Linked DNA regions of Arabidopsis thaliana. The protein of the gene in region 2 interacts with the protein of the main gene of each other region in a biochemical or structural test. Each region holds a gene or a part of one and is shown on either strand. Other genes may lie near its edges. The genes, in order: VIP2 and ABH1.

Evidence for each region.
Region 1: the proteins of ABH1 (region 2) and VIP2 form a complex in vitro, tested with the Arabidopsis thaliana proteins (one study listed by BioGRID).

Annotation. Positions count from the first base shown.
Region 1 is NC_003076.8:24,051,897-24,067,990, reverse strand, and holds VIP2 (VIRE2 interacting protein 2), read right to left. Parts: upstream 10,614-16,094; 5' UTR 9,835-10,613; coding exon 9,820-9,834; intron 9,712-9,819; coding exon 9,603-9,711; intron 9,521-9,602; coding exon 9,342-9,520; intron 9,261-9,341; coding exon 8,888-9,260; intron 8,445-8,887; coding exon 8,250-8,444; intron 8,134-8,249; coding exon 8,035-8,133; intron 7,747-8,034; coding exon 7,658-7,746; intron 7,556-7,657; coding exon 7,475-7,555; intron 7,324-7,474; coding exon 6,913-7,323; intron 6,825-6,912; coding exon 6,772-6,824; intron 6,675-6,771; coding exon 6,633-6,674; coding exon of another isoform or gene 6,611-6,632; exon of another isoform or gene 6,569-6,610; intron 6,544-6,568; coding exon 6,405-6,543; intron 6,315-6,404; coding exon 6,255-6,314; 3' UTR 5,909-6,254; downstream 1-5,908. Other genes in the region: EXO70H7 (exocyst subunit exo70 family protein H7), read left to right, coding at 1,987-3,891; HSP18.2 (heat shock protein 18.2), read right to left, coding at 4,874-5,359; AT5G59700 (Protein kinase superfamily protein), read left to right, coding at 12,889-15,378; AT5G59690 (Histone superfamily protein), read right to left, coding at 16,031-16,094. UniProt on the Arabidopsis thaliana protein: Transcriptional regulator required for Agrobacterium-mediated stable genetic transformation by T-DNA integration in host genome, but not for T-DNA transient expression.
Region 2 is NC_003071.7:5,630,508-5,647,468, reverse strand, and holds ABH1 (ARM repeat superfamily protein), read right to left. Parts: upstream 10,586-16,961; 5' UTR 10,417-10,585; coding exon 10,333-10,416; intron 10,249-10,332; coding exon 10,189-10,248; intron 10,090-10,188; coding exon 10,033-10,089; intron 9,548-10,032; coding exon 9,476-9,547; intron 9,368-9,475; coding exon 9,305-9,367; intron 9,132-9,304; coding exon 8,955-9,131; intron 8,771-8,954; coding exon 8,642-8,770; intron 8,419-8,641; coding exon 8,352-8,418; intron 8,173-8,351; coding exon 7,973-8,172; intron 7,758-7,972; coding exon 7,687-7,757; intron 7,225-7,686; coding exon 7,140-7,224; intron 6,994-7,139; coding exon 6,925-6,993; intron 6,834-6,924; coding exon 6,715-6,833; intron 6,408-6,714; coding exon 6,269-6,407; intron 6,068-6,268; coding exon 5,567-6,067; intron 5,477-5,566; coding exon 5,177-5,476; intron 5,093-5,176; coding exon 4,847-5,092; intron 4,764-4,846; coding exon 4,656-4,763; 3' UTR 4,403-4,655; downstream 1-4,402. Other genes in the region: AT2G13547 (uncharacterized protein), read right to left, coding at 85-297; AT2G13542 (defensin-like protein), read left to right, coding at 3,854-3,914, 4,131-4,300; AT2G13510 (Ta11-like non-LTR retrotransposon), read left to right, coding at 16,362-16,897. UniProt on the Arabidopsis thaliana protein: Component of the cap-binding complex (CBC), which binds cotranscriptionally to the 5'-cap of pre-mRNAs and is involved in various processes such as pre-mRNA splicing and RNA-mediated gene silencing (RNAi) by microRNAs (miRNAs).

The DNA.
Region 1 (16,094 bases), on a different chromosome or scaffold from region 2:
TTTATATGATTTACTCGGACCAAACATAAAAGAAAACAAAAACTAAGTGCTCTAAAAAGAGAACAAGTGGGTCGGCTCCTGTCTAGTCGAAATCCCTAGGGGCCATGGAGAATGAGGACCATTTGAATTGCATGAGTGGTGGGTGACATTAGCTTTATCCTAGTCGGCAACTTCCACTCGATTCACGTGTTACTTATGTTAAAATCAATCTTTAGATTCTCTCTTTTTCACTGTCTTTTTCCCGTTTTAGAATTGTTTTACTTTTCGACGACAAAAGAAAGAGAAATTATTGCAATTTTCCGTTAGCAAACTAATTTCAGAAACAATGATTAAAATAACATAATTATTCTTCAAACACATAATTTACATGCATATATTATCATGCTACCTTCCTCACGTTGAATTTTGGTAACTGCCGTTTCGTTTGATTGTCGGTTGAATTATCTTTTTAGTTAAAAGTATGGTCGGTTGATTACGGTAATTTTATATCATTTTATGAAATCGCTTTGAGACTAGAGAGCTTAGACAATATCAGAATTTTACCGAATCAAGAGCCGTATTGTCTCCAGTCTTGTTGTTTTCATCTATTCTTAACTAAACACAATTAAAATGACAGTGAAAGTTTTAACTTCTATCCTATATTAAACTTTTAAATTTCTATGATTTTGAATATGATTATGAAATTTAGGATGTAATTTCAACATCTGCTGTGTGTTTATGAATAGTTTTAACTTCACAATAAAATTTTGATTGGGAACATATTTAACTGTACAAAATATTTTAAAATCTGAAGCAAGAGTCTTTAAATTGATTTAATATCTGACTGCTAATTAGATTTATATTTGACACCGATGAAACCTACTGAAAATGGTTTAAGATGGGAAATTTTGTATTGTGTTCTCTTCTCCCCTAATAATTAAAGAGATGGAGAAAACTATGAATTAGTAGTCGTGTTTTGGCAATTTAGGATCTTTGAACATCTGTTAACAAATAAACTGTTGATTTCATTTATGTGGCGGCAGTACGCAATTTTCAACTTATAAGGCAAAGGAACCTTCCTCAAAATCTTCGGTTCCAAAAATACAAATCTAGTAGAAAGCTAACTAACAGTTTGTATCATAAAAAAAGCTAATTGTGTTTTTCCATTACATCCGTTAAATATATTAATACAATACTGATAAAAACTAACTGTAACACACGTACTAACATTCATTTTATTCTAAAATTCATACCACACAAAATTTTGCTGTCCTGATTTGTGCACGAGAGTTTCCAAGAATTTAAGATCATCGTATCACTTATAATATATATTTTATATTCAACAACTCTCTCAAACTAATTGTTTATTGTTTAACCAAGAATCATAGATCATAGATGACGTACTTACTTAGTACTTAACCCAATCAAAGCCAAGGATTTTTCAGTTAAGGGTATATTAGTTTTGCAATTTCGTGACATTTAATATTGACAGTTTTAGGATATAAACATTAATTCTTACGAATCCTACAGATTTACCTTTTGTGATATTTTGGTAATTTGGTTGGTGAATTACTACTAGTGTATTTAATAGCACCTCTTTTCGAAAACGGTAAACTATGCAAAATTCACAGCTGCAGATGAAAGCAGCAATAAATGTAAAAATAAAAACTTCGTCAGAATTGACTTTCCCCAATGTCTTGTCTTATTTGACACCGCGTTTGACTAATCAACCATTCTTCTCCACATATCTATACGTACACTCACATATACGCATATACGTATATTTCATTGAAAAAGCCGTCGTTTCTATAATATATATAGCTCATTCCTCCACCTTCCTCATCTTATCTACTTCACTTTTTGATTACAAAAACCAAACAAACAAACAACAAACCAGAAGTTTTATTTTTGTTAAAGAGTAACCAAAAAAAAAAAACAGAGTACCTTCTTCTTCACACACATAAAAAGAGACGGTACCAAAAAATAAAAACAGAGCAAACCACAAAAATGGGGAAGCATTTATTCCGATCATCTCCTCCACCGGAGAAACCAACAGCTCATCTCTCTCTCGCGGAATCAGCTGTTCAAGAATGTATGAGCAACATCAACACCGTCATATCAAAATGGACTTCTCCGGCTGCTTCTTCCTCCGACGACTTCCTCTTCTCCACCAACAGTCGTCGTGAAGCAGAGGAGTTTGTTACAGCCGTTAGACATCTACAAAGCACGATGCATCGTTTGGTTTCCGTTAACCCTTCCTCGGAGAAGCTAATCTACGCACAGAATCTAATGCAATCGGCGATGAAGCTTCTCGAATCAGAGTTTCATCGTGTTTTAAAAGCGAACCGTGAGTATTTAGATCCTGAATGTGTCTCTGTACGTTCTTACAGATCATCGAGATTCAGTACTTCGACTACGACTAGTGTCTCCGATTCCGAAGACGAAAGCAGTTACGAAGAAAACGCCGACGAAGAGCATAGATTCTCCGGTGGAGATTCCGACGCAATGGATGATCTCAAGATGATTGCTGATTGTATGATCTCTACCGGCTACGCTAAGGAATGCGTTAGGGTTTATAAAACCGTACGGAAATCGATTGTTGATGAGACGCTGCATAATCTGCAAATGGAGAGATTCAATCTTCATCAGGTTCAGAAAATGGATTGGGAGATTCTCGAATCAAAGATCAAAACATGGCTAAAAGCTGTGAAATTAGCTGTTAGAAAATTGTTCTTCGGTGAGAGGATTTTAGCTGATCATGTTTTCTCTTCCTCTGGTTTAATCGTTGAATCTTCTTTCACTGAGATTACTCAAGAAGGAGCATTGATTCTCTTCACTTTCCCGGAATATGCTTCCAAGATCAAAAAGTTAACTCCGGAGAAAATGTTTCGGTTTCTGGATATGTATGAAGCTCTTGCGAATCTCTATGTTGAGATTGAATCAATCTTCTACTTCGAATCAGCTGCTGCGGTTAGATCTCAGGTGATAAACTCGTTAGCTAGACTCGGCGATGCGACGAGGTTGATGATGACGGATTTCGAATCGGCGATTCAGAAAGAAACCTCGAAGACTCCGATCATCGGTGGTGGTGTTCATCCTCTGACTCGTTACGTTATGAATTACCTCTCCTTCCTCGCTGATTACAGTGATTCCATCGCTGCGATATTCGAAAACTGGAAGCTGAGTGTGCCGACGCCGTTGCCGGATTCTTTATACATAAGCGGCGGCGATGAAGCGAATCCGGAGGATCTGTATTCGTCTCCGGTCTCTGTACGTATCGCTTGGGTGATTTTACTCACGCTTTGTAAAATCGACGGTAAAGCTCAGCCGTATAAAGACGTTGCTTTGTCTTATCTCTTCCTCGCTAACAATCTCCAATACGTCGTCGTTAAAGTCCGATCGTCGACTCTGAAGGTTCTTCTCGGAGACGATTGGGTGTTTAGGCATGAAGAGAAGGTGAAGCTGTATGCTGATAAGTTTGAGAAGCTTGCGTGGGGGAAAGTGCTGGATTTACTACCGGAGATTCCGACGGATGAGATTTCGCCGGAGGAAGCTAAGGTTTTGGTGGCGAGATTCAACGATGAGTTTGAGACGTCGTACCGGAAACAGACTTCGTGGGTTATACCCGACCCGAAACTTAGGGACCAGATTAAAATCACGTTGAGTCAGAAACTTATGCTGGTTTGTACCGAGTTTTACCGGATGAACCGGTTTGCATATGGTATGGTTGGAGATAATGAGGCTATTTCCAGATATACCCCTGAAGATATTGGGAATTACCTCTCGGATCTTTACTTTGGGTCTAGAGGCTCAGGGAGTGTTTCGACAGCTGGTGGGTCTGGATCCGGATCCGGATCCGGAACTGGTTCGTCGAGTACGGGTAAAGCTCGTGGCGGACGTAGTAGTCATTGAATGAGAATCTCGTGATATTAGTTTTTTTTTTTTCTTTTCTTTAATTTGTGTGGTTATAATGTAACCTATAGTGATTGATGTGTCGAATATCTTATTCAATTATGTGTGTACAGATATATGTTGAATTATTGAGCTCTTCTTTTCTTAAAAGCAAATCATTCGATTACTTTTGGAACTTTGTGATTTTATCAACGACAAAAGAAAGTACAAAGATTATTGAGCAAATAGACAATTAGACATATACGTAAAAGACAATCATAAGTAGCTCTCACTCGTGAATCTTTTGACTAACTGTAATTTTTTTGGTGGTATATAACTTCATGTTGGTACGAGTCCACATTCCACAATACAATAAAAATAAAAGTAAAAAACAAATTGCAAATGCAAATTGCTTATGAAATAAATACGAAGCTGACATTATTAGTACATAGACTACCAAAAAATTCTAAGAAACAGAAAGGTCGACACGATAGGAGGGTCGGTGAATCTAATCAGGTTCGCATTAATGCTTTAATTAGGCGATTCCCGATACGTAGTCTCACGTTACAATTAGTACTAAAATAAACGTAAACCGAACTTAATCTCCTCATTATGTGCCATGTTTTAAATCATTTGTTTTGCGGTTATTACGCTTACTTTTTTCTACATCTTTATTTTATAAAATAGATCATGAAATAGCATGATGAAGGGAGGTTTATAGGTCCCTCGCCTCGTTTTACTCTATGAGCCCATCTTATCTTTAATCATATTCCATAGTCCATACCATAGCACATACAGTAGTTATATGCTGCAGAAGAGATCCAACAAAACATTCACAATGGATTATAGAAACATTTGTTTATTCATTATAATGAGATCTTACATTCATTTAATATTAGAAAAAGCCACAAATTCATAACACAACAAGCCAAGAAAAAAACACAAACTTAAGCACACAAGCTTTTTATTTGACACACCAAATATTTCATCTTCATCTTCATATTCAATTAGCCCCGGAGATATCGATGGACTTGACTTGAGGCTTCTTCTCAGGCGCTTTCGGAACCACAACCGTAAGCACACCATTCTCCATTGTTGCCTTCACTTCTTCCATCTTTGCATTCTCCGGTAACCTAAACCTTCTCATAAACTTCCCACTAGCTCTCTCCACACGGTGCCACTTATCGTTCTTCTCTTCGTTCTCCTTGCTCCTCTCTCCGCTAATCTGCAGAACGTTCTTGTCTTCAACCTCAACCTTGACTTCTTCCTTCTTCAGGCCTGGCAAGTCCGCTTTGAACACATGTGCCTCCGGCGTTTCCTTCCAATCCACTCTTGCGTTTGTAAACGCTGCCACATCACGAGCGGTTGAAGCGTTTGCCAACGCAGAAGATGGCGTGAAGAATCCTTCGAATGGATCCCATAAGTCTTGCGAGAACGGATCAAAGACGTTTGATCTGCGTCCTCCAAAAATGCTTGGAATGAGAGACATTGTTCGTTGCTTTTCGGGAGACTTTTGGTTCTTGATTTTCCTGCTGATTTGATCTGATTAGCAAAGGACATATTTATAGGGAAGTTAGAGGATGAAGAGAGAATGTTCTTCGAGTTTCTTGAATAGAATAGAAAATGCTCCTTTTTCTAAAACCTTCGCTTGGAGTCTTTAGAACACATACACAATGATCACTGTGGTGAAATGACCAGATTTTTCTTGGCATTTCAGGAAGTTTCGTTTGTTGAAACAAGACCGAAATGCAATCCTTGGTTACAATTAAAACTACGTGCCGTTTTGCTTTGTTGTTGTATTATCCTCTTCGAGATACGGGCTCAGTGAAGCGGATCTTCTTTGCAAAAGCCCATTTCTTAATAGGTCGGAAGTGGAATTTAAGAAAATCTAACTCAGAGAAAAGAGGACAAAATCAAGATTTAAGATTATTAGCTTTTCGCCAAAGGAAAACTATAGTAAGTTCTCGCAATAACAGTTGGCACTAAATTTCCGAGAATGTCAACAATCTTTTAATGGATTTTTTTGTCTCCATATATACAAGAACTGAGCCACGTTTTTGTGACAAACATAGACAACATATTTACTAAACAAGTAAACTAAAAAAAAAAAAAATCTAAATGATTCGATTCAAGTATCAGTTACTGTGATCAAAATCTCAACTTATTTATTGCCTGTTCATGTCATGCTTGAACCAGAAGAAATGACCATGGAAAGTAATTGTGATTACCTTTTTGGGAAACTTGGGGTTAAAAATTGAAAATGTGATATGTCATGGTTTTGGTTTCTAATCAATAGAACTTGCATGAAAGAAAGAAAGAAAGAGAAATGAAGAGAAAAGCTTTACATTGTAAAGATGCTACTAATTGAACAAACCTACTTGTCGTCAAAGCTGCAGCAAGCTTGGTCTCTTTTCCATAAGCTCGTACTTGATAACAAAATGTTCCTGCGATAACCATCACCAGCAAAATTCACTCATAACACTGCAAATTCGAGAACAAGGAAATAGATATTCCTGCAATAATCGTCGGCTTACCTTTCTCACTGTTTTGAACGAATTTGGATCAAGGTATTCGTATGTTCCTCTTTCATATGTAGCTGCCCTGACTAAAGGTTCCCCGACTCTGAAGAACCATACTCTGAGTTCCTTGTGGTAAAACCAACCTCTTTCGTAACTGCAACATGTCAATCGAACTCAAAAGTCTCAGCCAAAGAGAGCGGAGTAAACGAATAGATCAAAGATTACAGTAGAGAAAAAACATACAGTTCATCTGCTGCGTACAGCTGTGCTTCATCTTTTGGCATACTGGAACAATAATTAGAGCAAAGTAATAAGTTTAAAAGCCCAAGGTTAATTTAGGAGTTGGGCAAATGTGACGCTGAATGCTGATCTAATAACAGACCTGTAAAATGTGTAGAACAATAACTCGTAGGAGAACCTTTTGAAACTAGCTCGCTGCAACAAACGGAAATAATGACACATTTGTTAACAAAATCGAGAAAATACTTTGTTGGTACTACTCGCAACAACAGAGGGAACTTACAGTTAGAGGCGGAGGTTCTGTGGCGTAGTAACAATTTGGTACTGTGAACTCGACCTCGCTCTTTGCCGGTTCATTTGTCCAAGGAGACGCAAATGTCTTGTAGAGATTTCCAGTTGAATTCAAATCCAATCCTAGCGTCGTCAAGTCGATGCCAAGAGCAAGTGAGGTCAATTCAGGGTTGCTCCTGTTTAGTACGTCTAACAAGCCAAGCAAGCAAAAAGGATCTGCCTCTGACTGTGTCGATTTCATCTCAGAATCTCTAAATTGGTTGATTGATGACATCTGTTGCACAGGGAACTGGGATTGATTTTGATGTTGCTGATACTGCTGAATAAGCTGATCATAACCAATACTGGAAACTGCATTAGGCGAGCTTAGAGGTCTAAGGCCAAGACCCTGTAGCCCACCAGTCTGGTATTAAATAAGAATTAAATGATAAGATACGGTAGTTGGAGCAAGTGTGGCCCAACCACATGATGCAGTACCATAATAATATGAGATATGCAAATTGAAGAAAGTTCCGGCTTGTATACATATAGGGATAGGAGAGACTGCCACTCACAGATGAAGTATGTTGTGGCTGTTGTTGTGGACGATGTGATGAATATGTTGCTCCCAAGTTGAAACCACCAGATCTACCCATCTGCAAATTTGCAATATCCAAACATTAATTCACATCAACAACCATATCAACAGAAAAAGGCAGGACAACACTTTGTTAACTTCGAAACAGTCTAAAGCTTACAGAAAAGTTTTGAGAGTGCATCATTGACATAGCATTGTCATGCAGTTGTTCTTTTTGATGCAAATCCATAGGATACTCAGAATTACCACCTGCAACAAATCTACTACGCTTGTGAATGATCCAGCAGGTTTAGCTTACATCATTAAGAAGCACATCTTATCATCTTTCTCATGCAATAAGCTATAATATGAAGGAAGCTAAGAAGTTTATGAACTTGGAAACGGACTTTCATGAGATTTTGGAGAATAGCATAGAGGAAAACTTTTCAAGATAGGGGAAACTAGAGACGATATTCCTCACTACGTGCACATAAAGTCTGCAAGACCCAACTTTATGCACAATACAATACAAAGTTATCGACAATAAAAGACCAGCACCTTTATATCCAGGAAGGGCAGGAAAGTCTTCATTTTGGATGCTGAACTCCTGGTTTTGTTGGACAAGTGGAACTCCTAAACCTTGTTTCCTCAAAGAGCCTAAAAACACCACCGCAAGAGTATGAGGAAACAAGACATGATTTGGAAAATCTTTTCAAAAACTTATGTTATATTAAGTATATGAATTTCAAAAGATCTTCAGATAAACCGACTACCTAGATGTCCTTGAGTGCCACCAGCAGACCCAGGACGACTTGTCAGCTGGGGAAAATCGTTGTTGATGTCAAATAGAGAGCTGTCGTTAGGATGATCACTGAGCATCATATTGTTAACTGACTGAACATGATTCTGCGAAAGCGGGCCACCACCAGTATGATAGGAGTTCCCCAGCATAGACATGACCTGAGATCCTGTACCATACAATTTTACAATTAAATTTTTACTGCTATTTCCACATACAGCAGCTGCTAACTAATTGCATGTTTAATTAAATAAGATTTTGTGTAAAGTAAACAAGCTCGTCTTACAAAGTCCAAACAATCCCAGAGTACTGCTTTCTCTACATTCTAACGTACTCACGTGAGTCTAGAGAAGTATAGACTACAAAAGCAAAACAAGTTCAACTGCTGATATCAATCCTACCCCCTAAATGACTAATTATTCTAACTTATTTTCCACAGGACCTCCTAGCTACTAGACCAGTAAAAAGGTGTACTCCATGAAGCAATATATTCTATTTTATTTACAATGCTATAACAAGAAGTTAAACAAGGCTCGGCTCAGTTGTATCAAATGAAAGGCAAAAAAAACCTTGAAGACAGCAAATGGAAAGGACTCGATAAATCATATATACCTTGAGGAAGTACTCCACCCATCATTCGGTTCTGTCCCTGAACATTTAATCCTGATCCGCTATTTGCTGCCAAATTTAGTCGTGAAGACAGACCAGGAATAGACAATCCACCAGAGCTAATATTCCTCCCCAAGTTACCTCCACCAACCATGTTTCCCATTGAATTTGTTATTCGAGGACCTGAATTTCCCAACAATTGGGATATTCCCATCCCTGGAACACTATTCCGATTACTGAGTCCTGCAGATGTAGAGAGAATTCCAGGAATAGAACCACCAACTCCATTAGCGTTACTACTGAATCCAGGGTTGCCAACAACATTAAGACCTCTATTTGGGATTCCCGAATGCCCATGTGAGCTACCATGGGACAACTACAAAGCAATCATCGTATAATATAAGACACAGATTAAGAACAAGAGCCGTTTTTTCACAAAATTTTAAACAACATGCACCTGAGAGAGATTAACAGGTAGATTATTTGAAGCAAATCTTCCACTGGAAAAACTCCCATTAGGTTGTTGAACTCCGGCAGATGGTATACTATTCATACTTGAGTTTCTTGATGTAAGTGTACCTTGCATGTTCCCGACATTATAGTTCCCATGAATATTATGAAGTCCCTGAAGATTTCCTGCATGAAGAATATGTAGAAGTTATATAAGTTCAGAACGACGCAAAATATAGAAGAAGGTCAAGATAAGAATAACACCCACCAGTATGATGAAAAGAGGGAGACGGTGCACCAGATTGTCCAGAATAAGAAGCAGTAAACGATCTGCCCGAACCATCTGGTAAATTCGAAGCTGAACCATTGAGAGATGACTACAAAGGAAAGAGCACAAGAGTTGATGGATGAGAAATGGTACGCATAATTAAGCAAACGTTATCCTAAGCACACTAAAAATATTCTCAAGGTGAATAGGAAGGTACATGAAGGTTTGACATTGCACTAACTGACTGACAATCTCACGTGAGACAATGTATCATTCGGTGACAAGACGCGAAACCGCCTACAATCTGAGATGGAATAAACGATTACTCAGAAATGAATAGCCTGGAAAAAAGGAAGAATTCAATAAACCAAACAAAGGAGACATAAATCTTATCAACCATGGTGCAACAACAGACGAAGCTACTGTATAAACTACATATTGTTCAAAGTAAGATTGAAATTCTCATCCTTTGAAGGTTTATACACAGTAAACTTTCATCTAGAAACAAGAAGATAATGAATCAGCAACCATGAAATAAACTTCTAGCAGGAAATCAGAAGTCCAGGAAACGATTCAGAACAAGAAAAAAAAACCTCACGAGGATCCAATAAAGAAAAAAACAATCAAACGCAAGCGTAATTCAACAGTTGTAATAATACGACTGAGCAACAACACAGGATCCTAAATTCAGCTATCGCGATGCAAATTCAATAGTAAGATAACAAAATTGAACTCCGAAAACCCTAGAAATGACGTTGTTTAAATCTGTTCACACTCAACAGTAAAAAGGAGAAGGATGCGTACGGAGGAAGAAGAAGAAGAAGAAGAGAAACAGTGCCCAATTAGAAAACTCTGGAAGAAAAATTGAGAGAAAGGGTTAAGAAGAATCCGAAGAAGATTTTTCGTGAAGTTTCGTAAATTGGGAAGAAGCGGAGATTTTGATTCAATTTGGTGCCCTAAATCGGAAAACGGATATAGGAACGAGAGAAGAAGCAAGATTTAGAAAATTGGGATCGATAAATATTTTATTAAATAAAATAAATAAAGGAAACAAAATATAAATATTAGTTTTGTGCCGAATGATTGGTGATGGAGGGAACTTTCAGAGGTCACGACAGGCCCCACGAAACCTTCTTACTCAGAAAGAGTGTCTTTTGTAAGGAGAAAAATTCCTTATTTGCGGATCCATGTTTGGGCCTATTTGACCAGGCCCATTAGATACACGATTCACAATTTTACTTCCAAATCAAGAATGATGTTGATGTTTTACTTTGTGGAATCATGAAATCGTAGTGTAAAAGAAGAAATACTGAAGTAGGTGAATTCTGTTTACAAGATTACGAAGCCTAAATCAAACAAAACGACAAAATTGTGTGTTTTGAAGGTTGTAGTTAAAGCTAAAAGTGTTGAATAGTAACTATGCCTCTTATTCAGCTATGAATGCTAAGATGTTTTGTATTTAGTTAACATGAAAATGACGTTAGATCTTTCAAGATAATTAAAATAACGTCCATTAATGCAATTCAATCATATGATCTAAGCTTGTCAAAGTTTACAAAAAATAAGAAAAAGGCCGTTTCTTTAGAAGATAAGTTATTTTTGCATGGGCTTTAAAATATCACTAAGTAATCTTAGCACAACATACAACTCAATTTATGTTAATATGTGTAAATTTGAATTTTATGTTGTATTTGTTTTAAGTGAATCAATATAAACAAATCTAAAAGTCATTCTCCTTGCGACATCTCAACCAATTTTTATTTTATTCTTCTTGATTATGCTTTAACATAGTATAGAATTGTTGTTTCCACTGTCCAAACAAATGTGTCGGTAGACAACACAGGTCCACAAATATCATTTTAGGCTGAAACTATTTTGTACAACATATGATACATGCTTGAACTTGGATATTACACACGACACTAACACAAGCACTAGATTATGTAAATGATCATTTATACGTTGATATCCAAGAATTATATTATAAGTTCCCAATTGTCAAGAAAAACATAGTGGGCTCATCATATTATAGATAATTTTAGTAAATATAGCGACATCTTATCGATCCTTTCAGATAAACTCTATTGTATGTCATGTTCCATTTAGATGAAAAGTAGGGGCGGTTAATGTCGTCATTCTTCATTTATATCCAATCTAGAACTTCTAGATCTTTGACACATATATGTATGTGACCACCTCATTTCATTTAAAATCTTTAAGCTTCTGTTTCGTTTTGATTTATGAAAAATCTCAAGGCTAAGTAGTGTATGATACTTTAAGTATAAAACTTAATAGCTCAATTAACTAGTAACAAAAACTTGAAATGAGACTATTGTGACAAAAAAAAAAAAACTTGAAATGAACTTCCAACAGAACGAACATGGAATAGTAAACTCATGATAATCTATTTATAATGCATGAACAGATGCCGAAAAAAATCATGTGTCCCGTGCTTTCTTCATAAATATGGTCGGAAGTTTGGTATATCCTTAAAAAAAATTACACAACCTACATATGTTGACTTTTTTTCCAACCTCCACTACCATCCTTAATTTTTTGGAATAAAGAAAGTATATATTTGAGATTTAGCATATGTGACTGTGAGTGACGAACCGACGATTGCATACAAAAATGATATTATAATTATAATTATAATTAACAAGAAAAATATATAGTATTGTTGTAGAGAAAAAGTTAAATTATCGCTATTTCTTTACAGATTAAAAAGTGGTAATGTAACATACCCACTAACGTTTGTGCAGTTTTTTATGGTAAAATCTGGGAAATTTTCGTCTTCTTCCTAACTTTCATAGCCATCAGAAAAAATCAGACTGACAATTCAATTCAATCCCTTCGTCTCCTATATTTGCTCACGTCAATTTATTTGTCGTTGCATCTAATACACAAATATTAAATTAATAACTTTTTATATATTCATGTTTGCAGAGTTCACAAAAAAACCCATCTCTTGTTTGTTACTACTCTGTTCCAATTTCCAAACCCAAATTTTATTACACAAAAGCCAAAATCTGGAGATCAATCTATCAGCTGATCCTCAACTTTTGTACCTTTCATGGAACAATTTACTCTTTAAGGTACAAAAAATTTGTTTTTTTTGTTACTTAATTTTATCCGTTATGATTTTATTTTTATCTGTCGTTATAAAGTTGTCATCTTTGGTAAAACAAAACCGTTGATTTGCTCATGTCGTATATCCCTTGAATCTAGCTGATAGATTCTTTGTCTATTCCCATCGAATTATTTAAAATTTCCAGGTTTTGTGAAGATGGGTGGTGAAAAGTTTGGATTTTTGATTTGGATTTTATCGATTCCTTGCTTAATCTTCCTCTGCTATGGATACGTACCAGTGGATAATTACCTCATCAACTGTGGATCATCAACCAACGTCACTGTCACTAGTCGAGTGTTTATCTCTGATAACCTTGCTTCAAACTTTCTAACCTCTCCTAATGAAATCCTCGCCGCCAGTAATCGCAATTCAAATTCAGATATTTACCAGACGGCGAGAATCTTCACCGGAATCTCTAAGTACAGATTCTCCGTTGCTAGAGGCCGTCACTGGATTCGTCTCCATTTCAATCCTTTTCAGTACCAAAACTTCCAAATGGTCTCAGCAAAATTCTCTGTTTCTTCAGAAACACATGTTCTTTTGAGTGATTTCACTGTGAGTTCCAGAGTTATGAAGGAATACTCTCTGAATGTAGCTACGGATCATCTGGAGCTCACGTTTACTCCCTCGGGTGATTCATTTGCGTTTCTGAACGCGCTCGAGGTTGTTTCGGTTCCTGATACGTTGTTCAGTGGTGATCCTTCCTTTGCAGGCAGTCCTGGGAAGTTTCAGGGCTTGTCATGGCAAGCTCTTGAGACGGTTTATAGAGTGAACATGGGCGGTCCGCGTGTTACGCCTAGTAACGATACTCTTTCGAGAATTTGGGAGCCTGATTCTGAGTTTCTAGTTGAGAAGAATCTAGTTAAGAGTGTGTCTAAGATTGCATCTGTTGATTATGTTCCTGGTTTTGCTACAGAGGAGACTGCTCCTAGAACTGTCTATGGTACTTGCACCGAGATGAATTCTGCGGATAACCCGTCTAGCAACTTCAATGTGACTTGGGATTTCGATGTTGACCCGGGTTTTCAGTACTTTCTACGGTTTCATTTCTGCGATATCGTGAGTAAAGCTCTAAACCAGCTTTACTTCAATCTTTATGTCGACTCTATGGATGTTGTTGAGAATCTTGATCTGAGCTCTTATTTATCCAACACTTTGAGTGGTGCATACGCGATGGATTTTGTCACAGGATCAGCAAAACTGACTAAAAGAATCCGTGTGAGCATCGGTCGATCGAGTGTTCACACGGATTACCCTACTGCGATTCTGAACGGATTAGAGATCATGAAGATGAATAACTCCAAAAGTCAGCTCAGTATTGGAACATTTTTGCCCAGTGGTTCAAGTTCAACCACTAAGAAGAATGTTGGTATGATCATTGGTTTAACGATCGGCTCATTGCTTGCTTTAGTGGTTTTAGGAGGTTTCTTTGTGCTGTACAAGAAACGAGGACGAGACCAAGATGGTAATTCAAAGACTTGGATTCCTTTGTCATCCAATGGAACAACTTCATCCTCAAATGGAACTACACTTGCAAGTATAGCTTCCAATTCCAGTTATCGAATTCCTTTGGTAGCAGTTAAAGAGGCCACAAATAGCTTTGATGAGAATCGAGCAATTGGAGTTGGTGGTTTTGGTAAAGTGTACAAAGGAGAGCTTCACGACGGTACAAAAGTAGCTGTTAAAAGAGCGAATCCTAAGTCTCAGCAAGGACTTGCAGAGTTCAGGACAGAAATCGAAATGTTGTCACAATTCCGTCATCGCCATTTGGTTTCTTTGATCGGATACTGCGACGAGAATAACGAGATGATTCTGGTTTACGAATATATGGAGAATGGAACATTGAAGAGTCACCTTTACGGTTCAGGTCTTCTTAGCTTGAGTTGGAAGCAACGTCTTGAGATATGCATTGGATCAGCAAGAGGATTGCATTATCTCCACACCGGTGACGCGAAACCCGTGATTCACAGAGACGTCAAATCCGCCAACATATTGCTTGACGAGAATCTCATGGCTAAAGTTGCAGACTTTGGACTGTCTAAGACCGGACCGGAGATCGATCAGACTCATGTGAGTACCGCGGTCAAAGGAAGTTTCGGATATCTTGATCCAGAATACTTCAGAAGACAACAGCTCACAGAGAAATCAGATGTTTACTCTTTTGGAGTGGTTATGTTCGAGGTTCTCTGCGCGAGACCTGTTATAGACCCGACACTTACTAGAGAAATGGTGAATCTAGCGGAATGGGCAATGAAATGGCAGAAGAAAGGACAGCTTGAACACATCATCGACCCGTCACTGCGGGGTAAGATCAGACCTGACTCGCTTAGAAAGTTCGGTGAAACAGGGGAGAAATGTTTAGCTGACTATGGAGTCGATAGACCATCAATGGGAGATGTGTTGTGGAATCTTGAATACGCTTTGCAGCTACAAGAAGCTGTCGTTGATGGTGATCCAGAAGACAGCACAAACATGATCGGTGAGTTACCTCTACGGTTCAATGATTACAACCATGGAGACACGAGTGTTAACTTTTCTGTAGCTAAAGAGGGACGGTTTGATGAAGAAGAATCGAGTGTTGATGATAGTTCAGGTGTTTCCATGAGTAAAGTTTTCTCGCAGCTGATCAAATCTGAGGGACGTTAAAGCGATGATAAATTGGAACCAGAATATAGAATCTTTGTTCTGCTCTAGCTTTTCTTCTGTACATTTTTTACGATTAGACTATGATTTTCATTCAATAACCAAAATTCTGAAGTTTGTCATCAAGTTGCTCAATCAAACTTGTACCGGTTTGTTTCGGTTTTATATCAGCTCACTGTTACACTTTAACCAAAATCGGTTTATGTCTTAATAAAGGAATTGAGTCGGTTTAACTCATATCCGTACCAATGCGACGTCGTGTCCGCGTTTCAGTAGCTTTGCTCATTGTCTTCTACGGGAACTTTCCCGGACATAGGAACCGCCCTTTCGTTATCCTCATCCATCGTGAAATCAGGAAATAAATGTTCGAAGATTTGAGGTCAAAAGTCGAATTTCATGTTGTCTCTTCTATTTAGATACAAAATTGAAGCAATTTTCACCAATTTAATGCCAAAATTTAAAACAACGCTGATAAAGTGAAACTTGATTCGATTTATATTTCAACCGAAACTGCTGAAGCAAGAAGAAAAAGCGTAATTACACATAACAAGAACGCTACCGCAAACTACTAAACGCCAAACCCAATACAAAAGTAAAACGCAGACGCTTAAGTGAGAAACCCAGAAAACACAAACGCGGATCTGAAAAACTCTAATTAACCACCGAATCCGTAAAGAGTCCTTCCTTGCCTCTTGAGAGCGTAGACAACATCCATGGCG
Region 2 (16,961 bases):
ATTTAACGTATATATAGTTGATAAGATTTTAGTCTTTTTTTTTAGTCGGCCAACGATTTTATTAAGAAAGGCCCAATGGACTTTTTACATAGGGAAACGCCCAAAATAAAGTACAAGCGTAATTTTAACGGTCGAGATTAAAATCCTAATCTTTAGATGCTGACACGTGTTGAGTGATGGAACTCCGCCGAGCCACGCGTCAGGTAATTGGACACCCCTGCATGCATCACGCCGAACACCGCCAACTGTGATAGCCATCGCGGTCCAGTTCTGTATCGGTGGTAAGTCCCTTCCCATTTGCCGGTCTCCAGTTCAAGCCTAAAACGCGAAGAAACTCGGTTCAATTTTATGATAAGCTTCAAAAAACTTCGAGCAACTCCAACTCCGGGGAAGCTCCATCACGGACGACACCGAACTTGATGTAGTCGGATCTTGGCTCTAAACTTCATGAGCCAAAGGAGATGATGAAGATATTACTCTACGAGAGGATGGGCAAATCAGTTGAAATTTGAAGAAAAGCAGAGTTTTCAATAGGCTAGAAGAAAGGAGATCAATCTCGCGAGAGCGAGAAGACAAAAACCCGGACATAGCCGGTAGGAAGAATCCGACATGAAATCAAAATTTATTTAGATCATATATAGATAAGATTATAAACAGATCTGGTTAGATCCTTTTTGGCGACATGCTTTACCTTTCTGAAAGATCTGGAAGAGTGAAGAGAGGTAAAGTTCTTATGGTAAGAGGTCGCCGGATTTTAATTCTAAGAAACCGGAAATCACCTTCTCTCTCTGAAGAATAGATGTGAGAGAAGAGAGAGACGCTTCCTCTTCGATAAGATTTAGTCTTAGTGTGTTTAAGGTCAAAAAGATTATTCAACTTTTGTTATAACTATATGAGTACCCATGCTACGCATGGGTTTGTTTTGAAAACTATTTAAAAATATTTAAATTGATTATTCTTTTTAGTAATTTATGTTTATTCTTTGTTTATTCTTGTATTGTTAATAAAATTTGATTCATAATATATAGTTATAATTTTTATGGTTAGATTCATTTGTGATTCGAAATATTAATTTATATATTTTCATATATAAAGCTGATTATTTATAAGATTTTATTATTTTTTCACTATCATGAATACATATAACAACAATATATGATATTTTGATACAATTATGTATAACTATATTACTTGTTTTGTTTAAAATTTGCCTAACTCGATTATAAATAAATTAATTCTTTGTTTTATGTACTTCAACAACATTGTGATAGGCTCATGATTAAAGTTTAGATCGACATCAACTGAACAAGATCTGAAGAGTATTTGTATGAAAAAAATAAAAAGGTAGCGAAAATTGAATATTATATAAGTCAATACTTTTGGATTTTCTGTCATTGCATATATCAATATTAAAGAAATGATCGTGTCTTGGATGATTAAAAAATTGTCTAACTTGATTATAAAGAAACTATTGAAATTATTGAAAAAAATAGCCCAAAAAAATACACAGTCATATGTAAAACCCTAAAAAATCTATTTTACAAACATGAAAAATGGATAATACCGGGTTTTGCCCTAATTCCTAAGCTATAAATACCGAGTCTCGGCCACACAATTATCGTCCAGTTTCTTTTTTTCCTCATTAGATAGTTTTGATATTATGATTTTTTATATAGCTACAAATTTTTTTTATGAATCTAGTTGTTTATTGTGTGCTTGTGTTTGATAAATTGGTGTTTATATGATATTACTGATTTGTTTATTTTATTTTTTGAGTTCCATGTTCGTTTGATTGTGTCAAATAAATAACTTTTGGGTATCATCTAAATAACTTTTCTGGTATTTTTTAAAAGAGATGAAGATTTTTTAATAATGTTTTAGTTGTTTTTAATTACTTATTATTTTGAGTTATATTTTGATTCTGTAAAAAGTATTTATGGGTCTGCCGCATAGGCAGACCCAAAGAAGATTAAAGGAAGTCAGCTGGTCCCCCAAAGTTCAACATTTGCATTATAACCCTTTAAATTTTATGATATTATTTATATTTCTTCTCTTTTGATCTTCTTAAAATTACAAATTCGTATGTAAACTTTTTAACTATTATCGTATTTTTTTTCTACTTTGTGTTTTGACACTATTTCTTACATGTTTTCCCGATCTTTTTGTAACAATTACGTGCAATCCTAAATGGTCTGAAGTCGTGCGTTACCTAGCCAGGCACAAGCTTAAGCGAGAAGATAGGCCTGATATCATTTGCCGAGTTTTTAAAATGAAATTGGATAGCCTTATGCACCAAGTGATAAAAGAAAAGACGTTCGGCAAGTGATAAAAGAAAAGACGTTCGACGATGTTAACTGAGGTACCATAGTCCCTTTTGAAGTTTATAATTCTTGGTTTTGGTTGATATTGTGTTCATATTTTAGTTTTATATTTTATTCATATTATGAATAAGCTACCCTTTTATGTTTCAGCCATGTATACAATAGAGTTTCAGAAGCGAGGATTACCGAGAGTATGATCATTCGTACCTTCGTGATCCTGTTTTTTGTGTTTTGATGTTTTGGCATGTTGAAGAGTATAAAGGTATTGACTTATATTTATTCATTGTATTTTCTAAAAACGGTAGAAAACATCACTAATTTAATATTTTACAGGAAAACCATGTCTCATGAATAGAGTTGAATGCTCTAAAATTTTTTTTCACCCGGAGTTTTACGAACTTGAGGAAATCAAAAACTGGTAATATTCAGCATTTAAATTCATATATTGTTGGATATACATAATCCATACGTCTAATGACCTATTAAATTTATATATATAGTACACTCTCCACCGCTTATGCTTGGGTTGCTACGAATTCAAGATGTTCCGGTTTGGATGATTGAGTGATAATGAAAATTTTCTACAAAAATGATCGATGAGTATTATGTTGTTATGGGTTTTAAGGAATGTTTAAATACTCTGTTTTAGAGACGGTTTGTTTGATCATTTGTAATATTATGTAGAATTTCCAAATCTCATAAATATGTTCTATCAATAAAAATTAAAAATTTATTTCAGAAAAAATTCTTGGCCACGCAAGGCGCGGGTAACTCCCTTAGTATTTCTTAAAGCCTTATTATTTTGGCTGTAGAAATTTTAGATATTCAGATTTTTATTTTCTCTGTCATCTATTATAACGTATTATATACTTTTATTTACATTGTCACTATGATATATATACGTATATATATACTAACTATTAAATAAATATATATATTTTATTACAATAATAATAATAAGCTGAAAACAACAACGTCAAATATACACATCACCATGTATATTATATAAAATTATATATTGTGCATATATACAAATTTCCTCCTTACTCATGTATATTATAAGTAATATTTTGAATGTTTATATTAATGTTATAATAGATACTTTATTAAAAAACTAAAATATAATTTTTATTACTGATTTCATATAACTATTTCAAATAATATTTTTTAAAATTATACAATAATGACATATAATAAATAATTACGAATCATTTTTCATTTTCTTTATAAAGTTACTGCCAAAATTTTACAGCAAAAAAAAACTAAATCTACAGCTAACACATCTACAGCTAAAAGCTTACAACAATTAATTTACAGCTACAGCCTAACCAATCACCCACTGTTAAGTCACATTAAATTTTAGTCAACCTTATATTAACAAATATAAAACATTCATTTATAGTAATAATAAGAAATGAAAGAGTAGTTCAAATTTGATATTTTTCTCCACAAATATATATCATATAAATTGAGTTTTTCATAAAGATCTGAATTTTTTTTAAAAGAGAGGCTATTTTTCTCAAGTGAATATAATGGATGTCACAAAAACTTATGTGACTATTTTCGTTGTAGCGATATTGACAATTTCGGTTTGTAATTACAACATCTTGGCAACACAAGGAATGTTTTTATTATTCAATTTACAGAGATTATTAATTTATCGAATATTAATTTAGAGAGGTTAACTGTTTTTTTGATCATTTGAAGAGCAATGGTTAAACATTATCTTTTCAGAAATTAGAAAAATGTTTTCATGGAATGTCTTACATACACATATATATATATATAACTTGGGTTATAAAATTGCAGTGATCCAAATCCAACAATATGATCGTTGCATTGGGCCATGTTTGAGATTTTACGGAAATCATCAATGTTACAAAAACTGTAGAAAGGCGAAGTATGATGGAGGACAGTGTGATTTTGTTAAAAAAGGTGAAAAATTACCAGAATGTTGTTGCTATTATAACAAAAATTGATACTCATTGTAGTAACCGGCTACTTGAGTCTTGAGCATTATGTTTGTCTTCAACTTCTTAGTATAATAAATTTCTTACAATAAATTAATATTGTTACTCATAAGCAGACAATTTTATAGTACGGTTGCTCAATTGTGCTCAAATCGGAACATGCAGTTCCCTTTTTGGTAAATGAAATGCTTTCGATATTTGCGTAGGCCACTCTGAGAAACGAGCTCCAGAAACAAGACTGGTGTTAAAAGTTTAAACTCTTGTTTTTTGACTCTTTTCAATTTCCTAATAACTTGATGTCAGAATCAGAATCTCATAACAAAAAACAAAAGAGACAGGTTTGATTGAGATTGAAAGAGGAAGATTAATGTAATGGGAATTGAAGTGCAGAAGATATGGCTTGGAGAAAGAGAGGATGCACATCTTCACCCGAGAACACTTCTGACTCCAACTTCTCCATGTGAGGCCATATCTACAAGAACATGGTGAAACAAGTCAATATTCAATCTACTAAAGCTCTTACAACAACATCCCAACTATTAAGTTATTTTTTACCTCGCTCGCATATTGCCTTGTAAATGCCGTGAGATAGCCAAGTGTTGATAAGCACCACTGTTCTCTCTCACCGACTTCGCAACTCTTCTTTGGGTTTCCATTCTCGCTGTCCACGTCCATCGCAGATGGCTTGTCATCTTCAGCACCTATAGATTTTAGATCCTGCACTGATCTCACTTTAGTTGGATCTGGGAGCCGTTCCTTCAGTACACCTAAGAAACTTTGGAACAGCAAGAGCAGTAAAACCTATGCACAAGTCAACTCAATTAGCTTTTAGTAGATAAAAGGAAATAATAAGATCATGTGCTGCATTAAACTAATATATAATACCTCGGTCTCAGAGAGAGCTCTGTTAAGAAGAGCCTCTTTTGCCTCTAGGGACTCCCGAAGAGATAACTCCGCTTCCCCTGTCTTCTCCACTGTTGATTTTAAACGCTTCATCTTCGCTGGATTCTCACCAAGAACGGGTTCACCTTCCACTAGGGAAAGTTTGCTCTCAGCAGCCTCCAACTCTACTCGTGCATTGGCTGAAGCTTTCTCAGCAACCAAAACATTTTTCGTAATGTTTGATATATCTTTCCTCAAATCAGAGATACGGTTATAAGTCTTGTTAAGAGCATTGCCAAGTATCTGCAGAGACAGAAACAGATTTACGAAGATAAACAAACTTGCTCTGCAGAGTGTAGAAAATAAATATACTTCTGTTAAAACGCAACTGACCTCCCATGGCTGATCAGACACATGAAACTGATCAACATTTTCTGGAGAGAACACCCATCTAACAATTGCCTGATTAGATACTAGTCTATAACCCATCATCCTATCAATTGCCACCGCCGTCATTTGTACATTGTTTTTCCAGTATGTACTCACTTGAGATAATAGCATCACCTGCTTATCGTTATCAGGACAAAGCTTTGAAAATACTTGGCCATATCGCTCCAGGACAGTGACCAAATGAGTGAAACTTTTTGATCCGATGTCAAGTAAGGTCTGTACAACTATTGTAAGAGTAACTTCAAAACCATGAACTGGATATATCGTTTCTTCAATCCACACTATCATGTCACGTGCGGTTTGTTTTTCCTTGACCTTCCTGCTCAATTCGGCTGACAATTGCTGTTCTTCTGTTTTCTCTTTACCTTCTTCCAAGGAATACATAAAATTCGGACCAGCTTTTGGAGGAAGTAATTCTTCTAGGGCAGTCGCATTCTCAATGCTCTGTTAGACACACATAGAAAAAACAATATAGCCTGAGGAAGGATATCTGATGCTTAAGTTTGGAATGATATATCCATGTGGATAACAAGATGAAACATTGATCCCCCACAAAATGGAATAAGACAAATAACCCTAGGCTAAGAGAAAAGTATATCTGATGCTTAAGTTTGGCAGCTATTAGGATATCTGACGATCTGTTACCTGCTTAATTTTATCCCAGTAAGACAAGCGTACTTCTCTTTGCAAAATCTCCTGAACAAATACACGCTTAGGGGCCCACTTGGGAAGATCCAACACAAAAGCCCACTCTTCCCACGGCCAGATGAATTGGAAGTTGGATCTGTTAAGCATGGAGTTATCAACATGAGAGTAGAGAGCAAAACGAAATACGTAATCAACTTCATGTGATGAATAACATATTTCTCAATTAATCGAGAAAGTAAGACTCAAACACGACCACTGTATCATGTAAACGAATCGTCAGTAATGCTGACTGAAAATCCATATTTTATGTTTCAATAATCCATATTTTATAAGCTAGGTAACTTTCTAACATATATGGAACATTCACCAAACATTCGACAATAAAGCACCTTTTCCAGATTACAAAAAATCAAGAGGTAAGAAATATGAAATTATATACTTACAAGTGGTGAGAAAACCAGAGGATAAGACGCGTCCTGGATTCCATGTCTAAGTCGGATATTTTCTCAAATAGTGCACGAACAGCGCCAGCAACAACAGCAGGAAAGGCACCCGGAAGAGCCTAAATTAATTGAATATTTGGAATCAGGTTGAAAAAAGAAATAACAGCAGGGATTTAAAAACCATCGGATGAACAGTATAATCCTTTGTACCTTACAAAGATCCATAATCACGAGTGTATAATAAAGAGTCTTGAATGGTGGCTGGGGTAGCAGCAGTATCTGAAAAACAGTAGATACAATTGTTATATTTAAAAATCACAGATCTTGGAATTAATTGGTATAATCTGCCAGAAACGTATGCTTTTATATTACAACGTGAATACTCACTAGAGAGATAATCCCAAAATTTATACAACAGAAGTTACCTGAGAAAATAGTGTCTCTGCCATAAGATACTCGTACCGAAATGTAACAGGAAGATTAGCCATGTAGGATGCACACTCCTTCCGACTAGCTTTGCAATAAATTAATTAGTGAAACAAAATTCTATATAATTTAAGAAGGCAAACAAAATTTAGTAACCAGAAAGAAAGAGACTTAGCATAAGCTAAGATGTTGATTAGAAAACATGTATATGCTAGGCAAGTCTACAACCATAATAATGACTTAAATAAGTATATGCTAGGTTCAACTAGATACTCAACGCAAAAACACTAGCCCTTAGTAGTAGCCAATTAGTCGCCCAGCTGAATCAGTGACCATATTATTCAAAGAGTAAGTCATGAACTTAGATTAATACACCATACTCTAAGGTTAATAATTTAGAAAACACGTGACTAATTTGCTATGGTTGGGGGACAAAAACCAAGATCTACACCAAAACCAGCATGAATGGACGACCACTGTGCAAGAAAAATATAGAAGAAACATACAAAAACGTCAAAAGAACACAAGCTTTGGGAAAATACACACCATCCATTCAAATAGAAGAGCACATCCAGCAAATACTCCTCCACGACAAAACGATCAATTGGTTGTACATCCTGCGAGTTTGATAGTTACAGAATCAGAAGAAAGGGTAGACAAAGAAAAGGAATACAAAAGGACACCATATAACCCATATATCAATCTACAAATATAATAGGTTAGAAAAAAGAAAAATGTTGACGACTGAAAAGGTAGCAAGTATAATAAGCTTCCATTAGCATGAAATATGTCCTATTCAGATAAACAATGACATCAAAAACCAGAATATTACCTCCATTTTATTAGCTGGAAATATATTCAACCTACGAATTCTCTGGGGATATCTCGTCAATGCATCATGCTTTTGCTTGCCACTGTATGCCCTCGAATGATCAGAAGGTGGACTCGGTTGTTCCATACATTTAATGGGACGTAGCTCATGAAACTTTCCAGCAACGAGTTGAGCTTCAAACGAGAGATGAGGCCTAGGTACTAGCACATTGAATATGCATGAAATTGTCAATTGTAATATACAACTAATATCTCTAGTCATATGAACTGATCAATTTGTAAGTCAAACAAGGTAGATAAGGATATTAAAAGAGAGGGTTCGTAGAAGATTGCAATCTTGTAATACAAAGAGATATGAGAAGTTGACAAAATAAGCATACCGCTTTCAAGTTTCCATCCATTGGAAGCCAGAGACTGAATTCGATCCAATAGATCCTCCACGAAATCCTAACGAGACACAAATGAGAAAGACGAATGACGCAGACCAAAAGTTATCACACCATGATACAAAATTCAACAGATATCTATCTCAAACAAAAGCAGAAATGAAACGTCACATCCATGCATCTTATTTATACATTTGCCAAGACATCTACCGAAACAAAATCAGAGGGGCAGCTAACACAAAGCAAATACAACAACTTCAAGAATTAAACACTAAAAGGCAAACCTTCTCTGCAAGGCTGCTTTCAAATTCTCCGTTGTGAAAAAAGTTTAACCCAGAGGTGGAAGAATTCTTTCGGATGCTCAAATAAGCTTGTATCCCAACTAACACTCTTTCAATCTCATCAGGAACTTGCTGCAAACCAAAGGGAAATTCAGCGGCCATACAAGTTAAGATAATAGATATGAAAGCAGACTAACAAAGTTGGTTGCAGATCCAACAAGGATGACATCATTATAAAATTGGAAACGCATATCCAGTATTCTAATAGCCTTCAATGTAAATAATTTCTAGAATGTATTTAGTCCAAGAGCAGTACCTCAGCGAGTTCTGATCCTCCCCACGGGAGGCTGGACAAGATGCATATAACGTAAAAGTCAGCTTGTGGCTGCCATGATGGATTTCCTTTCTCTTCATCCACAGTAGTGGCAGCAGATGATAGCAATGTTTCGAAGACGACAATCAAAGAAGCAGGTTGAATAACCTTACTGCACAACTAAAGAACCCAACTAAAACATGTTAGAAAATAGACAAAACATCTCAAAATTTTCACAAATACTGTTCTATATACTTCGCACTTTTATTTTTTAGACGCTTTCTGTGTATTAGAAACATGAACTAACATATTAAATAGACGAAGCAACCATGAAACATGATTAGCAACCATACCAGGGAAGTCATAAAGCGAAGCAATATACGGATACTGTTGCAGTTGCCAGAATCTAAAGCGACCTGGCATGTTTGACCAAGAAAAACAGTCACATTAGAAACAAAAGTAACTGAGAAAACTTATGTTATCAATTTATCCTTGGCCTTTGATGTACAGATTAGATTATTCACCTGGAAATTAGCGTGGACACTTTCTACTAGCTTCTGGACAAAATCTTCATTCTCCAAGTTCAACAAACCAATCTTAAACATGTGGAAAGACATCCATCAAACTTCGAAGTATGTGTATCAGATTAAATCGAACTAATTTATAACAGGGAACAGGGTATCTCAGTTCAAAAATAGATCCAAATGCTACTTACACAGATAAGAATTATACACAGAAAATATTCAAGCATTCTTTATTACTCAGAAGTTAGCAAATATTGATGAATACTATGAATAAATAGATTCCTACAACATGTTATATATGATATAATAGACACAAAATGATCCACCTTAAGGGCATTTCCACTATTATTTGTGTTTCTGAAGTGTTCATTTGTTTCAAGTTAAATGCCTTCCGTTATTGCTTCGAGCTAATTATTCTTCGATAAGAATCAGTTCACAGATACCATAACATACTCAATCAAAACCTCCACATATATAACACATCTAAATGCAAGCCCAACATCCAACACATACCCAGAAATGAAAAAGCCAAGGTAACTAGTTTATAAGAGACTTACCAAAGTCCCATACAAAGGAATCTTATGAGGCAATTGTTCAGCACATTGTAGTAGAAACTGTTAAGACGAAAACAAAAATAATGAGAACACACAATAATAATATCCACAGAGATACATCACAACAGATCCTAAAATTGAAGGCTCGAAGTCACTTACAGGCAAAACTTGATCTCCAGAACGCTCGATTTCTCTACGAATGACACCGAAACAAGTCTCCTGTATATAGAGAATCGGAAAAGTTTTGAGTAGTGAGAAAATTAGGGTTTAAGAGCGAGGATGAATCGAGAGAGAGATACTGACGATGTGGTCTTTGTAGTCGGAGGAAGTGCCGTACTCAGGTCCCTTTTCGCCGATGCGAAGGAGAAGAGTTTTCCAATTGCTCATCTTCTTCCGAGAGGTTTTTCTTCAGTTCGTCTCTTTGTTGTTTCTCCTTTGGTATCAGTCACTCTGCCCTAGTTTTTTTTTTTATGTCCGTGTCTCGTCAAAACTAATTTTTTTTTTTTTTTCTCATAAGTGTTGTCATCTAAGAAAAGGAGTTCACAAAAAGAGTTTGACAAAAAGTTTTTCTCTCTCTTCTTTCTCTTAGTAGCTGAAACTAGCCGTTAAAACAATAGTCGTCCCAGTTAATTTGGAGCCTAAAGACTTTTCTCTCAGGTGTTCTATTCTGAACGGAGCTTCTACCAGAAATATTTACGTGTTCGGTCCGGTCTAAATTGTTGTTTTCTTCCTCGGATTTTTGGTAGTTCTGACTCTTTCTCTGTTACGAGAGTTTGCTTTGTGATTCTCAGTTCTGTGTTGGTTATCATCTGAATTACTCGGATTTCTTCACTGTTTTTTCTCTTGGAGTTTGTTTCCTGCAAATCAGGTTTGACGAGTTCGGGAAAGTTGTTTACTCTCTATCAGGATCTCATCATGGAGCTGGATAAAGCCATTCAGAATATGTCGATTTAAGACAATAAGCCTCTGATTCTTTCTGATCAACCGCGCTTTTGTTCAATTAACAGAAACAACTGTCGTTAGTTGGGTAGGTTTTTGAATCTAGAGAATCAAAGGATGTCTAATTGGATATTAGATATGCCACGAATTTGGAGAATTTCTTCTCGGGTTAGAGGTGTTGCTCTCTCAAAGGATCGATTCCAATTTTTCTTCAAATCTGAGGAAGATTTAGAAGAAATTATGAAAATTGGAGTTTGGACAGAAGATAAATTGGGGTGTAGTCATGGATAGATGGATTGAGAATCCTCCAATTGATTATCTGAATTTTCTTCCAATCTGGGGTCGAGTGAGGAATATTTCGGTGAACTATTATACTCAGGACACAATTAAAGAGATCACGAGCTGTATTGGGGAAGTGAAGGAGGTGGTGATGGACTCTGAAAAATCACAGTTTCAGGACTATGTTCGTGTTCGGGTTTTGTTTCATGTCGCCAATCCACTTCGTAACAATAAAGAGGTACAACTTCCATCTGGTGAAGTTGTCACAATTTCTTTTGACTATGAACAGATTAGAAAGAGATGTTTCTTGTGTCAAAGATTAACTCATGATAAAAATAGATGCCCATCCAAAGTCTTAGATTCCATCAAACATGATGTGAGATCATTACAAGAGAAAGGCAAACAGAAGAAGATGTTTTTACCGAGGCTGGCTGAGTTTCCCTTTCAGTCAATTGCTCCCAAAGGAAGGGTAGATGCTTTGCCAGCAAATCCTCTATCAGCTACTGTTGCAATTGATAGTCATCCAGAGAATACTTTGTTAGCTGAGATGCTAGATTTGGACATTAGTACTGGATTTACCACATGTGTTGGTGAGGCTAGTTCCTCCACTTCAGGGTTTAAACATCATATAATGCAGGATTTCACTCCTTTTCAGTTCAGGAAAGAAAAACTAGTTAATGAGCTGTCTCTGAAGAATAAGGTTATTCAGTCTCCTGCCTCTCCTCATTTTGAAAAGGTGTTCAAAAGGAAAAGAAAACCCTCAGACATTACAGAAGCTCAAAGTTTCAAGAGAGACAAGAATACGGTGGTTCCAAGTGAACCACCGTTGGATCAGTAAGGCGTCCTTAGTTGGAATTGTCAAGGCTTGAGGAATCCTTGGACAATTCGACACCTTAAGGAGATGAAAAAAAATCATATCTCGGACATTTTATTCTTCATGGAGACTATGAATCCTGACGAGTTTGTTTCAAAAGTTATTGATTGGCTTGGTTATAACTATATGTATACAATAGAACCTCAAGGGAGAAGTGGTGGCTTAGCAATCTTTTGGAAAAGCCATTTGGACATTGAGATTCTTTTTGATGATAAACATCTTTTGGATCTTCAGTGTTCTTCTAGAAATAAAGTATGCTTTGTTTCTTGTGTTTATGGGCATCTGGTGACATATCTTAGGCCTTAGGTTTGGGATAAGTTGTGTAGTCTTGGATCACATCGGAAGCAAGCTTGGTGTATGATAGGTGACTTCAATGATATTAAGTCGAAAACGGGAAAGAGAGGGGTCCGAGAAGAGTACCTTCTTCGTTTCAATCTTTTCAAGACATGTTGAATACTTGTGATATGCATGAACTAGGTAGTACAAGCAATGGCTTTACTTGGGGAGGGACTAGAAATGGTCAATGGATTCAGTGTAGATTGGATAGATGCTTTGGGAATTCCTCTTGGTTTTCTTTGTTTCCAAATTCTCACCAGTGGTTTCTGAGAGATTTGGATCTGACCATCGTCCTGTTTTAGTCAAGTTTATTAATGATAACGAGTTGTTTCGTGGACAGTTTTGTTATGACAAAAGAATAGCTGATGATCCTTCTTGTATTCAAGTGATTTCCAACTCTTGGACCAATGCAATGTCTCAAGGTTCTCACTCCTCTATCTTTAGTCTTATTGAATGTCGAAGAGCTATTAGTGTATGGAAAAAAATCAGCTGATACTAATGCTTAGAGTAGGATTCAAAGATTGAGGAAAGATTTGGATTTGCTGAAAAGTTATGAGTTTCCAAATTGGCCTAGAATTGCATATATTAAAGATCAATTGGGTCTTGCTGATGAGGATGATGAACTCTTTTGGAGACAGAAAAGTAGTCAAAAATGGCTGTTTGCTGAAGATAAAAACATTGGTTTTTTCATGCTTCTTTGAAATCTTCTAGATTAGGGAACTCTTTGAGCTTCCTTCTGGATGAAAATGGACAAGAACACACCAGGATTAGTGAGAAAGGGAAAATTGCTTCTTCGTTCTTTCAGCATCTTTTTTCATCTTCTTATCCAATAGGCCAGGATAATTTTTTGAATGGTTTTCAAGCAAAGGTTTCATTGGATATGAATCAACAATTAACTCAAGATGTCACAGAATTGGAAGTGTATAATGCAGTGTTTTCTATTAATTGTGAAAGTGCTCTAGGACTAGATGGATTTACTGCTTTGTTCTTTCAACAACATTGGGATTTGGTTAAAACTCAGGTCTTAAGCGAGTTTTTTTTTTTTTTGAGAATGGTGTTATACCACAGGATTGGAATCACACTCACATTTGTCTCATTCAAAAAATCACAAAACCGAGAAGTATGTCGGATTTAAGACCCATCAATTTGTGCTCTGTCTTATATAAGATCATCTCTAAGATCCTCACTGCCAGATTGAAAAAACATCTTCCAAGTATTATCTCTTCAACTCAATCCGCTTTTGTTCCTCAAATATTGGTTTCTGATAATATCTTAGTGGCTCATGAACTGGTGCATAGTCTTAGAACTAATGATAGAATGTCAAGAGAAGAGATGGCCTTCAAGACTGATATGTCTAAGGCATATGATAGGGTTGAGTGGGTTTTTTTGGAAGCTATTATGAAGGCTCTTGGTTTTGACAGGAAATGGATTGCCTAGATTATGCAGTGTGTAACAACTGTTTCTTACTCTGTGCTGATTAATGGGCAACCTTATGGTCACATTATTCCAGAAAGAGGTATTAGACAAGGTGATCCCCTCTCTCCAGCTTTGTTTGTTTTATGCACGGAGGCTTTAATTCATATTCTTAATGAAGCTGAAAAGAAAGGAAAAATTTCAGAAATTCAGTTTCAAGCTGAAGGAATATCAATAAACCATTTGTTGTTTGCTGATGATACCTTGCTTTTGTGTAGGGCCACAAAGGAAGAATGTGAGGAACTATTGAATTGTTTATCTAATTATGGTCACATTTCTGGCCAACTGATTAATTTAGATAAATCTGCAATCACTTTTGGGGCCAAAGTTGGTGATGATCTCAAGAATTGGATAAAACATCGGTCTGAAAAATTTCTTTAGAAGGTGGTTTACCTGACTGTTTACGGGGTTCTAAAAAGGAGCTGTTTGGATTTATTAAGGAAAAGCTACACACTCGTTTGACAGGCTGGTATGCTAGAAAACTATCTCAGGGTGGCAAAGAGGTTTTACTCAAATTTATTGCTCTGGCTCTTTCTTTATATGCAATGACTTGTTTTCGACTGCCGAAGACTTTGTGCAAAATTTTGACCAGTGTGATGATGGATTTCTGGTGGAATACTATGCAACAAAAAAAAATTCACTCGATTGGATGGAAAAGGTTAACTATACCTAAGGATCAGGGAGGGCTTGGTTTTAAGGATCTGCAATGTGTTAACCAAGCTTTATTAGCCAAACAGGCATGGAGATTAATTCATGAGAAAGAAAGTCTCTTTTTCAAAGTTTTTAAGAGCATGTATTTTTCCAACTCTGATCTTCTTACTACTATTAAAGGAACTAGGCCCTCTTATGCTTGGAATAGTATTTTGTATGGTAGAGAATTACTCATTCAAGGTTTAAGAACAATCATTGGGAATGGGAATCAGACTTATGTTTGGACTGATAAATGGTTGAATGATGGACAAAATAGAAGACCAATGAATAGGCAGCTTTTAATGGATATTAAGTTGAAAGTTAGTCAACTTATTGATTCTGTGTCTAGAAATTGGAATCTCAACATGCTTAGAGATCTGTTTCCTTGGAAGGATATTCAGTTGATTCTCAACACAGACCAGTGGTTTATAAAGAAGACTATATTTGTTGGGATCACTCGAATAATGGTCTTTATTCGGTTAAGTATGGGAATGATTTGATAAGCAAGAAGACTCATAATCAGTTGTATCAAGAGTCTGAGGTTCATCCATCTTTAAATCCATTGTTTGCTAAAATTTGGACTTTAAAGACAGTTCTAAAAATTAAAATCTTCCTCTAGAAAGTTTTAAAAGGGGCAGTTGTTGTTGAAGACAGACTCAGAACTAGAGGAATGATTATTAAGGATGGATGCTTATTGTGTGATGAAACAATCAATCATATTTTGTTTCAATGCCCTTTTGATAGACAAGTTTGGGCTCTTTCTCATTTGTCATTTTCAGGCTTTGAATTTTTGGGTTCTGTTTATGCAAACATAAGCTCTTTGTTTGATTTACCACAAAGACATGATATTCATCATCGGTTGAGATTGTTGGTCCTTGGATTATTTGGTTTTTTATGGAAAAACAGAATTAAATTGTTATTTGAGGGTATAGGATCAATGACAGTTAATCTAGTGGACAAGGCGTTTGAGGAATGTCATCAATGGTGTTTGGCTCAGGCTCATAGTCATGAAAATCATAAAGTTTTGCCCTCTCAGAAATGGATTCCACCTCTGCCAGATGAATTGAAATGCAATATCGGCTTTGCTTGGTCTAAGAAACATCAACTCTCAAGGGCATCTTGGGTGGTTAGAGACTCACACGGTGAGGTTCTGCTGCATAGTATAAGATCTTTTACTCAGGTACTATCTCTTTTTGATGCTAAGATGCAAAGTTGGGAATGGGCTTTAGACTGTATGTCTCATCATCATTTTGATAAATTCACATTCGCCTCATCCACCTATGACATTATTCAAGCTTTGCACAAACCAAGTGAGTGGCCTAATGTTTTGGGTCATATTACTGAGCTTCTGCTTCTCACTAAAGACAAGCCAAATTAGTTTCTCATGATGGAACGTGCTCACTGTAATAGAGGCGCTTCTGACATAGCAACAAGTGTGATCACAGGTTTCAGATTTCAATCTTACGTGGCAAGAGGATACCCTTTGTGGATGACAATGGTTTTACTGCAGAGAGAGGTAATTAGAATGGTGATTGGGATATTTTTGTGTCTTGTTAGATTTTTTAAGTTTAATGTTTCTTTAGATTTGGGTTTTGTTTTTGCGGCTTCTTTTTTTTAGCCTTTATTTTATTAATGTTTAACTTTAGGTTATTCATTTTATAGTTCCTTTCTTCTATTTATACTTCTTTGTTAGAGTCTTTTATATCTCAATTTCATTTTCTTCCTTCATACTCTGAGTAACATGGCGGATAAGCTGTGGGATGAGATACAAAACCTTGAGTTAGGTCCGGAGGATCCGACTCTGTTTATTCCACATGAAGCTTATGTTATGGTGGCTGAAACCAACAGGCTGAGTATAATAGCAAGACCTCTCAATCCACGGGTACAAAATCTCTACTCTGTTATTGCTGCTTTACCAAGATCTTGGGGTTTAACAACTCATGTTCATGGAAGAGTTTTAGATGCTACGTATGTGCAATTCCTGTTTCACACAGAAATGGACTTGGTCTCAGTACAAAGGAGGGAACCATGGCTTTTTAACAACAGGTTTGTTGCATCTCAAAGATGGGAGCCTGCTCCTGCTTTAAACTTTGTCACTACCATTGATCTTTTGGTTCAGATGCGTGGTATTCCCCTTCCTTATGTGTATGAAGAAACAGCTTTAGAGATTGCTCAAGAGATTGGAGAGATTATCTCTTTAGACTTTCATGATGCTACTTCAACTCAGATTGCTTATATTAGAGTCCGGGTTCAGATTGGTATCACCGAGCGTCTAAGGTTATTTCAACGCATCACTTTTGAGTCAGGAGAATAAGTTGTAATTCGGTTTCAGTATGAACGA